Callithrix jacchus: one gene and its partner. The protein of the gene in region 1 interacts with the protein of each later gene in a pairwise test. Links are inferred from orthologs where the notes say so. Each region holds a gene or a part of one and is shown on either strand. Other genes may lie near its edges.

Region 1 (5,679 bases):
CTTCTGTCATGTTGACTTGACTTCTATGACGCTCTGTATTGGTCAAAGAAATCACAAGCACATTCAGATTCAAGGGGAGGGGAAGACTTCAATTCATTACTGGATAGTGGCCATGCCACACTGTAGGAGATACTGTTGTAGTCATCTCTGAAAATGCAGTCTGCCACACCACAGGTGTGGCCATGTTGACTAAATTCTGGGTAAGAGGACAGAAGAGGAATTGGTGTGTTTACCTTCCTAGAAGTGTCCTTAAAGAGTATGTGTTTTGGGGAAGGGATGGGAGCTTCCCTTCTCATTTTCACTGTCCTCTTAGCTAAAATATGACTGGCTCTGGAGGAGCCATTTTGAACCACAAACAGGATCACAGAGCAATGAGCTGGAAGGAACGTGGGTCCCTAATGATCAAGGAGCACCATACCAACCCTGAACTGTGCACATTTACCTTCCAGAGAAGTACAATTCTATCTTAAGCTATTGCATTTTGCATTTTCTGCGACATGTGAGCAATGCTAATCATAATTAATACAAATATTATCACAAATGAAGACAAGTGATACACATGCATCTTAGGTTACCAGATCCATAAAAATAATAATGCTTACATGGTGGAAAGTAGTACTAACATTGTGCTCCAAGCAGTGACATGTGAGGCTCACCGTATTTTTTTTTTTTTGAGATGAAGTTTAGCTTTTGTTGCCCAGGCTGGAGTGCAATGCCCCGATCTCGGCTTACTGCAACCTCCACCTCCCGGATTCAAGCGATTCTCCTGCCTCAGCTGACCGGCTAAATTCATATTTTGAGTATAGACAGGGTTTCTCCATGTTGGTCAGGCTGGTCTCCAACTCCTGACCTCAGGTGATCTGCCCGCTTTGGCCTCCCAAAGTGCTGGGATTACAGGTTTGAGCCACCACTCTCACCATATTTTATAAAAGTTTAATTCTTAAAATGTTTGACACAGCCGGGCTCGATGGCTCAAGCCTGTAATCCCAGCACTTTGGGAGGCTGAGGCAGGTGGACCACGAGGTCAAGAGATCGAGACCAACCTGGTCAAAATGGTGAAACCCCCCCATCTCTACTAAAAATACAAAAAAAATTAGCTGGGCATGGTGGCGCGTGCCTGTAATCCCAGCTTCTCAGGAGGCTGAGGCAGGAGAATTGCCTGAACCCAGGAGGCGGAGGTTGTGGTGAGCCGAGATTGCGCTATTGCACTCCAGCCTGGGTAACAAGAGCGAAACTCCGTCTCAAAAAAAGAAAAAAAAAAAAAAAAGTTTGACCCAATTAGAAGTTCTTTATTACTATATATTTAAAAACAACATTATTACTATGAAGTTGATAAGAAATGAAAATAGAGAAATACAGTGGCTCATGGAGTGAATATAGGGTGCATCATTAACAAAAGGTTAACATCAAGATCCATTTTTACCAAAGGGCCTAGTTTGTTACAGCTCTGATTTCTAGTCCCCAGTCATGTGTTTACTCTTCCGTGGGTGGGAAGATAAATCTGAATAAGCAAGCGAGCTTGCTTTTAAACTATTTTATTTACAATGATATGGTAATTGTAAAAAATGAAGTATGCGTACTTAAATAATATTTAATTGACAAAAGTCAATTCTTTCTACTTCAAAATTGTAAACATTTGCAAAGTGAGCCTAATTTCAAAGTGAAAAACTTCTACTTTAAAAGCACACATTCGTCATTCTATTTTCCTTGATACCGAAGTGTTTCAATTTTTGGAGATGAAGTCAAAATCACTCAAAGTATAAAGTTTTAAAATAATCAGCGCCTCACCCAGCACTATCCTATTTGAAGGAGATCGACTAATTTCGATAGGTGCCTCACAATAAATGGTGCCTTTGTCTCAGTAAATAGTAAATGCATGGAGTGCACAACGAAATAGCATCAGTAAGGCAAAAAGATAATAAACAGGATGGGTGAGGAAAGGCTGGATAAAATGTGGTGGAAGAAAAAGAAAGACGTCACAAAGATGGGGTAGCATTTCTTTGTCCAAAAGAGAACCAGTACCACCATAAGCCTTCAAACAAAGGACATTAACAACACTTATCATGCAGCTAGATTCTAAAAGGAAAATAAAATGCCACTACTAAGGTGGAGGCTGAAGTTTCACGACAAATCGCTTGGCACCAGCTTTGCGTGGGAAGCGGGGCGAGTGGCTAGCAAGCTCCCGGACACGCGGACAGGTGGACACCGAGGCGGCCTCGCGAGGGCTCCCCTCCCAGCCCTCGGCGCGCCGCCCGCCAGCGCATTCCACCCTGGCGCGGTCAGAACCGCGGGTGCGCGGCGCCTGCCGGCGGAGGTTGCCATGGTTTCCGGGGGTCACGTGGGCGCGCTCTCCCGCGCCCCCTCCCGCGCGCCGCGGTGGGGCGGGGGCGGGGCGACCGGGCGGGGGAGAGGCGCGGTCGCGGCGGGACCGGGAGGAGCAGGAGATGCTGCCAGCCTTCCCGGGGCCGCGCTCGCTCAGCCGCCGCCGCCACACGGAGCAGCCGCGCGCCAGGAGCCGCGGGCCGGGCCAGCCGGGCCGCCGGGGCCCAGTGCGCCGCGCTCGCAGCCGGTAGCGCCGCCAGCGCCGTTGGTACTCGTTAGGCAGCCGCTGGGCCCCAGGCCGGGCCGGGGAGGGGGCGAGGGCGGCGCCCGGGCGCCTGCCGCCGGGGAAGCAGGATGAGCATCGAGATTCCGGCGGGACTGACGGAGCTGCTGCAGGGCTTCACGGTAGAGGTGCTGAGGCACCAGCCCGCGGACCTGCTAGAGTTCGCGCTGCAGCACTTCACGCGCCTGCAGCAGGAGAACGAGCGCAAAGGCACCGCGCGCTTCAGCCATGAGGGCAGGACCTGGGGGGACACGGGCGCCGCTGCCGGGGGCGGCACCCCCAGCAAGGGGGTCAACTTCGCCGAGGAGCCCATGCACTCCGACTCCGAGGACGGGGAGGAGGAGGAGGCGGCGCCCGCAGACGCAGGGGCGTTCAATGGTGAGGACCGGACCCTCTCCGCGCCCACGGACCCCCTCACTGTCCCCTACCGCTCCCCACTGTGCTCTCGGATCCTGCTGCTTTGCGCACCCACCTCTCCACGCATTCGCCACCTTTTCCTACCTTCCCATCTCGCCCACCCCCTCAGCATCCATTTCTGTCTCTCCCAGTCGCCCACCTTCCTACTCTGCTCCCTTGTCATACCCTCTTCCCTTCCTCTGGAGGTGGGAGAGCTGGGAGGTTACGCTTTCCTCTGCCCTTCTGCCCCCTCTGCCTGGGCCGGTTGGGGTGGGCATCTGCTAGAAAGACAACTTTCGCTGTGGTTGGAGGTATTTCGCTTGGAGGATACCATCATTGTGCATAAAGAAACTGGCCCACTTGGCGTCTTCTTTCAGCTCTTGTATTAATGGAATGTCAAAAGAGAAAAGGCGAACGGTGTTTAATGTGACTGGCTTTACTGTTAGGACGGTAGATCATTGAAAGAGGCTTGAAATTGGACTCACTGGGGCAGAACAAAATTTATGGCCAATAGCTCTGACATCCTTAGATAAGAGTTGTCTGTTATTTTCCAATTTACCAATACCATGTTGTGTTATTTTTGGACATGTAACAAAGGATCCTATTAGTCTGAAACCCACGGGGGTCTTTGGAACGAGGAAACAGGTTAATTGTTTGCTTTTTATATAAAGAACATATTGAATTATTTGGTGCTTTATTTTTTTTTAAAGCGTATGAGAAAAAAAACAGTGTAGGAAGTTCTGAAGCCTTGTTGATTGTCTTTAGAATGAAAAGCCAGTGAGTAATTGTAAGGACTGTGCCAGACAGTAGAGCTAGAAAGAATGAATGGGAAAGAAAAAGGAATTTTCTCAAATAGCTGCTCCTGGCAAGTCCCACCCCTTTTGCTTACAACCTTCTTTCCCTAACACACCCAGACACACACCCTCATTTACAGCCCCCCTGTATTTACACAACATGCCCAAATCCCATTTTTATGGCAACCCAAGCTAAAATACCATGGAGTGCAATGTGCAAGTGTTTTCTCTTTGTGGTGTAAGGCAAACATGCATGCACCATTGCACCAGCTTTTATTTATTTACACTGCTTGTGGTTTGTGTGTCCGCAGTGTATTTCATAAAATGAAAACCTTTAAAAGTGTCATTTCATTCCCTTGTGTATGCTCCTAGGAAGATGTTTCTTTTCTTTGCGGGATTGCATGTTGAAATGGTTTATAAAATTAAGGTGTTTTTAGCTTGTCTAAATCTCAGAAACCCTGGAAATTAATGTTGCATGAAGATAAAAGTGAAACTTGTTACTTACAATTTTAATTTTGGACTTTTAAATGTTTCCCCAAGGGGATAATCATAGTCTTAATTGTTTTTGCACAAGAATCAAATCAAATGATTTTCTTACCAGAAACAAGAGAAAGATGAAAGAATGCATGTTTTAAATAGATAGGAAATAGCAGCCAGTAACGGATTACAGAAAGGGCAGAGGTATCTAATACTTCTTTTATGCTCTGGATGCATGCACACATGTTCATGCACACACACCAAGGGGAAAAAAAAGACTCTTTTCCCAGAAGAAAACTAGGAACTAAGGGACTTGGTAAAGATCTTATATATATTCTGTATGATATGTTGTTAATATAATCAGACTCTTTTGTTTGTATAAGAAATTTGAAGTACTTTCCTTTGATGATTCCATTTTCTTATTAAAATAATATATTGTGCGCAGAAGAGATTTAATGTTCATTTTGTAGTGAAGAAATAAGCTGTTAACTTCTGAACAGCAGGGATCATTTTATAGTCTCCAAGCCACCTTTACTGTAAAAATTGCTCAATGTGACTTAAACAAGTTAACCTTGTTAAACAATTGCTCTATTTACTCCCCAGCCTCAGCCCCAAGGACTTTAAAACTTTTTGACTGCAAACAGATAGGATTTGATCATTATCCCTGTGGCACATATATGTGTACAACTGAAACTTTGGCAATAGTACGGGTACTCCTTATGTCAGATGCAGTGCTTTTTGATATTTCCTATTTGAATCAATTATTTCTATTTTAAATTGTGTTGAGACCTGACTTTGAAAAGCATTTAATTATAGGCTACAAAGTGGTTGGCAAGTCTTTCCTGTAAAGGTCGGATAGTAAATGTTATAGACTTTGTGGGCAATGTATGGTCTTGATCAACTACTAATACTTCTTCCTTTCTTCTTTCTTTTCTTTTTTTTTTTTTTCAAACACATACACTTTCTGAGGGTTGGAGTTGTACAAAACTAGCTGCAGATCAAGGCCATAGCTTGCCGACCTCTGGTCGGAAGAAAAAAAGTCAAAATAGTACCGTACCATTCGGGGGAAAAAACTGGAGTGAGCCCAAAGATTATGAGCCTGTTAGTTTGACGTCTATGTCCAGAAATGTGCCACATTGCAAAAAACCCCAGATAATGGGCAATTATGACATAGTAAAGAATAAGGATTGGAAAACAAGTCTTAATTTACTATGATACAATACAAGACCTGCTGGGTCAATAATTCTGAAATTTTCATAGGCATCTCAAGAAGTTTGATTCAGAAATGACCGTAACTCTGTACCATTTTCAGAGAGCTTTTTTGAATAGGTTGAGATGGGACATGGAATCCTTTTTTTCCCCCTCAATAGACATCCAGGTCATTCTGATATCAGTAGTTCCATGACT
Region 2 (4,935 bases), on another chromosome or scaffold:
CCAGGTGTCAACATGTTGTCCAGGTTGGTCTCAAACTCCTAACCTCAAGTGATTTGCTTGCCTTGACCTCCCGCAGAGCTGGGATTACAGGCGTGAGGCACTGGACCAGGCCAGATTTCTCATATTAGAAAGTCAGACAGTGTGTTGAGGAAGAACTCAGCACTAGGGAAAAGAGTAGAATAGATACAGATAGACATTTATGTTGCCAACAAAGCCATTGACATAACCTCTGCAGGTTCATATCCCACAATTTTGCCCAATAAAATAGTCCATATGCTGTTAGCTTTTCCCTGACAGCAGACATTCATTTCATAAGAAGATGGTCTAGGCTGGGTGCAGTGGCTCACACCTGTAATTTCAGCACTTTGAAGGCCAAGGTGGGTGGATTACGAGGTCAAGAGATTGAGACCATCCTGGTCAACATAGTGAAACCCCATATCTAATAAAAATACAAAAATTAGCTGGGCTTGGTGGTGTGTGCCTGTAGTCCCAGCTACTTGGGAGGCTGAGGCAGGAGAATTGCTTGATCCCAGGAGGTGGAGGTTGCAGTGAACTGAGAACGCGCCACTGTACTCCAGCCTGGTGACAGAGCGAGACTCTGTCTAAAAAAAAACGAAGATGGTCTATATATGCCATAATCATCATTAATTAATTTTCAAAGTTGCTTATAAAAGAGGTGGAGATGTTTATCTTGGCTTCCACTAAGGAAAAGGAGATATATTTTTCCACATCCAGTTTGCTTGGATCCTGGTTGGTAAAGAGGTACCAGGCCATGCAACTAAAATGATTCCATGGCAAGGATATTGCTTGATGCTAGTTGTTCATTTACAGGTAGCTTTTGAAAATGGCTGCCTCTCATTTCACCGGGCTCACAGCTGTTGCTGATGTAATTAAAGATCTAGACACTCAGATAGCTGTAAGTAGGTTTGAGGCTACTGTGGGCAAAACTTGGTGAATGTGCTTCTGATTGTCATGACCCCCAAGCTGACGTCCACAGAGTAAACCTCATGGCTCTAAGATTCAGGAGTCTCAGCTGCTTCAGGCTAGGGTGTCTGCATGTACTTAGATTGCTAACACTCCGAGAAAAATTGCTGTTGACAAAAAGGAGTTTACTTTTAACAACAGCTAAAATTTATGTTTTTGGGGCATACCCCCGACATAAACTTAAGCATGTTTGAAATGCCAAAATGAACTAGTCTGTATTGTTAAGCTTTGTGACTGATTTTTTTAAAGGATGTGATTGTGCCATGACTTATTTGAATTTAACATTATTTGATACTTTAAAAATAATGCATGTAGTACTTAACTATTTTTACAAAGTTCTCAAAAATGTCTTGCTTATTCTAGTTTATTTTTATTTTATTTTATTTTATTTCATTTTATTTTTAGACAATGTCTCACTCTGTCACCTAGGCTGGAGTGCAGTGGTGGTATGATCACAGCTCATTGCAGCCTCAGCTTCTTGGATTCAGGCAATCCTCCTCCCTTAGCCTCCCGAGTAGCTAGGACTACATGCTAAGTGAGTCCAGTTAAGTGGGATTTTTTTTTTTTTTGAGATGGAGTTTCACTCTTGTTGCCTAGGCTGGAGTGCAATTGTGCAATCTCAGTTCAACGCACCCTCTGCCTTCCAAGTTCAAGCAGTTCTCCTGACTCAGCCTCTCAAGTAGCTGGGATTACACATGCCACCATACCTGGCTAATTTTGTATTTTTAGTAGAGACAGGTTTTCTTCATGTTGGCCAGGCTGGTCTTGAACTCCCAGCCTCAGGTGATCTGCCTGCCTGGGCCTCCCAAAGTGCTGGGATTATAGGTGTGAGCCACCATGCCCGGCCCCTAAATGGTTTTTTGTTTGGTTTGTTTGTTTGTTTGCTGAGACAGAGTCTCATTCTGTTGCCCACGCTGGAATACAGTGGCATGATCTTGGCTTACTGCAAGCTCTGTCTCCCATGTTCAAATGATTCTCCTGCCTCAGCCTTCCCAGTAGCTGGGAGGGATTACAGGAGTGTGCCACCATGCCCAGCCAATTTTTTTGTATTTTTGGTAGAGATAGGGTTTCACCATGTTGGTCAGGCTCATCTCGAACTCCTGACCTCAGTTAATCCACCCGCTTTGGTCTCCCAAGGTGCTGGGATAATAGGCGTGAGCCACCACGCCCAGCCCCAGCTAAGTTTTTGCAGATAGGGCTTCCCTATGTTGCCCAGGCTATTCTGTAACTCCTGGACTCAAGTGATCCACTACAGGCACCCAAAATGCTGGGATTACAATGAGCTACTGCACCCAACCCTAGTTTATTTTTGTACGTAAGATTCCTTATTTCATTTACTTTCTTCCTTGTTTCAATTTTGTGGTCAATTTTATTTAACATTTAGAGAAGAGATGGTTTCTAAATGTCAGGTGAAAGCAAAAACCATTCTTCATTCCCTCAATTTTTAACATGTAGGTATTAAATGGTCACCATTCCATATATACTGAAGAACTCTCAAAGTCTAACAGACCTGATTTTACTTGCTTTTTTTTTTTTTTTTTTTTTTGGTAGAGATGAGGTCTCACTATGTTGCCCAGGCTGGTCTTGAACTACTGGCCTCAAGTGATCTGCCCACCTGGCCCTCCCAAAGTGCTGGGATTACAGTTGTGAACCATTGCACCAGGCCTCTTTTTACTCTCAAGACTCATTCTTTATTACAGGTTCTTCTAGAACTAATTCTTATGCTTTTCTTCTTCAGTTAATTGGCCTTGGTCCTCACAGCTCCAAAAAGAAACAGGATCTCGATAAGCTCTATGAGCTGAAGTCCAAAGCTCGGCAGATTATGAACCAGTTTGGCCCCTCAGCCCTAATCAACCTCTCCAATTTCTCATCCATAAAACCGGAACCAGCCAGCACCCCTCCACAAGGCTCCATGGCCAATAGTACTACAGTGGTAAAGATACCAGGCACTCCTGGGACAGGAGGTCGTCTTAGCCCTGAAAACAATCAGGTATCATCCTCTTACTCTTTCTTCCCTGTAGCCACCTCTCACCTGTTATTTCAACCTGTAATACTTAAGAGATGTCCATCTTATATGCTGCCTTTTTCTCTTAGCCGAAAAGGTCTTTTCCGTCTTACGGATTTCTAAGTTTTTTGTTTGTTTGTTTTTTTTAAGGCTAGTCATGTTTGTTTGTTTTAATGTAAGTAGAGACTATATTTGGGCCAAATTTGAGGACCCCAACTCAGGAGACACAGATTCAGTTTGCCCTGAATATATGATCCTCTAACATTCTTTAGCAAATTATCATGTACAGTGTTTATCAAGTTTTACTGTGTTGTATATTGTTGTGTGTATGCATGTATCCATCCATCCATGCCTGTGGTAGGTTTTTTCTTTCATTTTGATAGGTGTTTTATATATATGTTAACTATATAGTTGTTAAATAAAATAATTAATTCATTTTTCCTATGATGGAAATACTCTTGGTTCTAGCCATTCCACCTTCTAGTTCATCCAATTCCTGCCATTATTAATTTTCTGCAGTGATTCTAAAATCTGCTCCCTTCTTTCTACCCATAATTCTGATTTTGCCTCCAGAGCCACAAGAAATAAGTATAATCTCTTTGAATTGGGTTTTGTAGGCTGTGAAGAAAAAAATGAATGAGTTGGCCCAGTATTTCAAGGGAATGAGTGAAGGAACTGGCAAAGGTTAATGAGGGATGGTTGGGCAGACAATCAGGAGATCAGTCTCTTTTGAATATGGAGTCTGTTATAGAAGACAGAATTTAAAATTGTATAGGTAGCGAGGCGTGGTGGCTCAAGCTTGTAATCCCAGCACTTTGGGAGGCCGAGGCGGGCGGATCACCTGAGGTTGTGTGTTCTAACCAACATGAAGATCAAGACTATCCTGGCCAACATGGTGAAACTCCATCTCTACTAAAAATACAAAATTACCTGGGCGTGGTGGCTCATGCCTGTATTCCCAGCTACTTGGGAAGCTGAGGCAGGAAAATTGCTTCAGCCTGGGAGGTGGAGGTTGCCATGAGCTGAGATCGCAACATTGCACTTCGGCCTGGGCAGCAAGAGAGAAATTCCACCTCAAAAAAAAAATATTGTCTAGGTAGGGTTATGGCAGAACATAGTGACCCTGTACTAGTAAGTTTCCATTGGAACTTTCAGGTAATATACAATCTTTGCAGATATTTAATAAAGAAGTAAAAGTATGTAATAAAAATAGTGTATTCTATAGAGTAGTAACTTGGCAGTAAGGGGACAGGATGGGTAGAAAAGGGGGTTAGACTGGGTGGATGACCAATTCTAAGACTTTTTCAATAAATCAAGACATGTAGTGAAGGCTTGAATTAGGTGATTAGGATAGAATGAAGAAGAATAGATAGATATGAGACATCATTAACTTTTATTTATTTTTTAGAGAAAGGGTTTTGCTCTGTTGCCCAGGCTAGAGTGCAATGGTATAATCATAGCTCACTATAGCCTCAAATTTCTGGGTTCAAGCAATCTTCCCACCTCAGTCTCCTGAGTAGCTAGAACCATAGGCATGCACCATCATGCTTGGTTAATTTTTTTTTTTTTTTTTGGAGAGACAAGGTCTTGCTGTGTTGCCCAGGCTGGCCTCAAGTGATCTTCCCTCCTCTGCCTCCCAAAGTGCTGGGATTACAGATGTGAGCCACCATGCCCAGCTGAATATTCATTTTAGAAAATTATTTTCAGCCGGGCATGGTGGCTTATGCCTGTAATCCCAGCACTTTGGGAGGCCAAGTGGGCGGATCACCTGAGGTTGGGAGTTTGAGACCAGCCTGTCCAACATGGAGAAACCCTGTCTCTATTAAAACTACAAAATTGGCCAGGTGTGGTGGCACATGCCTATAATCCTAGCTACACAGGAGGCTGAGGCAAGAGAATCACTTGAACCCAGGAGGCAGAGGTTGCAGTGAGCCGAGATTAAGCCA

What was found.
Region 2: the proteins of PRKAR2B (region 1) and TAF12 interact in binary tests that used the Homo sapiens proteins (3 or more experiments, as listed by UniProt). The two-hybrid records come from large-scale screens. The link is inferred for Callithrix jacchus from reciprocal best matches to the Homo sapiens genes PRKAR2B and TAF12.

Annotation. Positions count from the first base shown.
Region 1 is NC_133512.1:77,494,362-77,500,040, forward strand, and holds the start of PRKAR2B (cAMP-dependent protein kinase type II-beta regulatory subunit), read left to right. Parts: upstream 1-2,439; 5' UTR 2,440-2,676; coding exon 2,677-2,983; intron 2,984-5,679. UniProt on the Homo sapiens protein: Regulatory subunit of the cAMP-dependent protein kinases involved in cAMP signaling in cells. Type II regulatory chains mediate membrane association by binding to anchoring proteins, including the MAP2 kinase.
Region 2 is NC_133508.1:65,288,885-65,293,819, reverse strand, and holds part of TAF12 (transcription initiation factor TFIID subunit 12), read left to right. Parts: intron 1-831; 5' UTR 832-844; coding exon 845-916; intron 917-2,722; coding exon 2,723-2,974; intron 2,975-4,935. UniProt on the Homo sapiens protein: The TFIID basal transcription factor complex plays a major role in the initiation of RNA polymerase II (Pol II)-dependent transcription.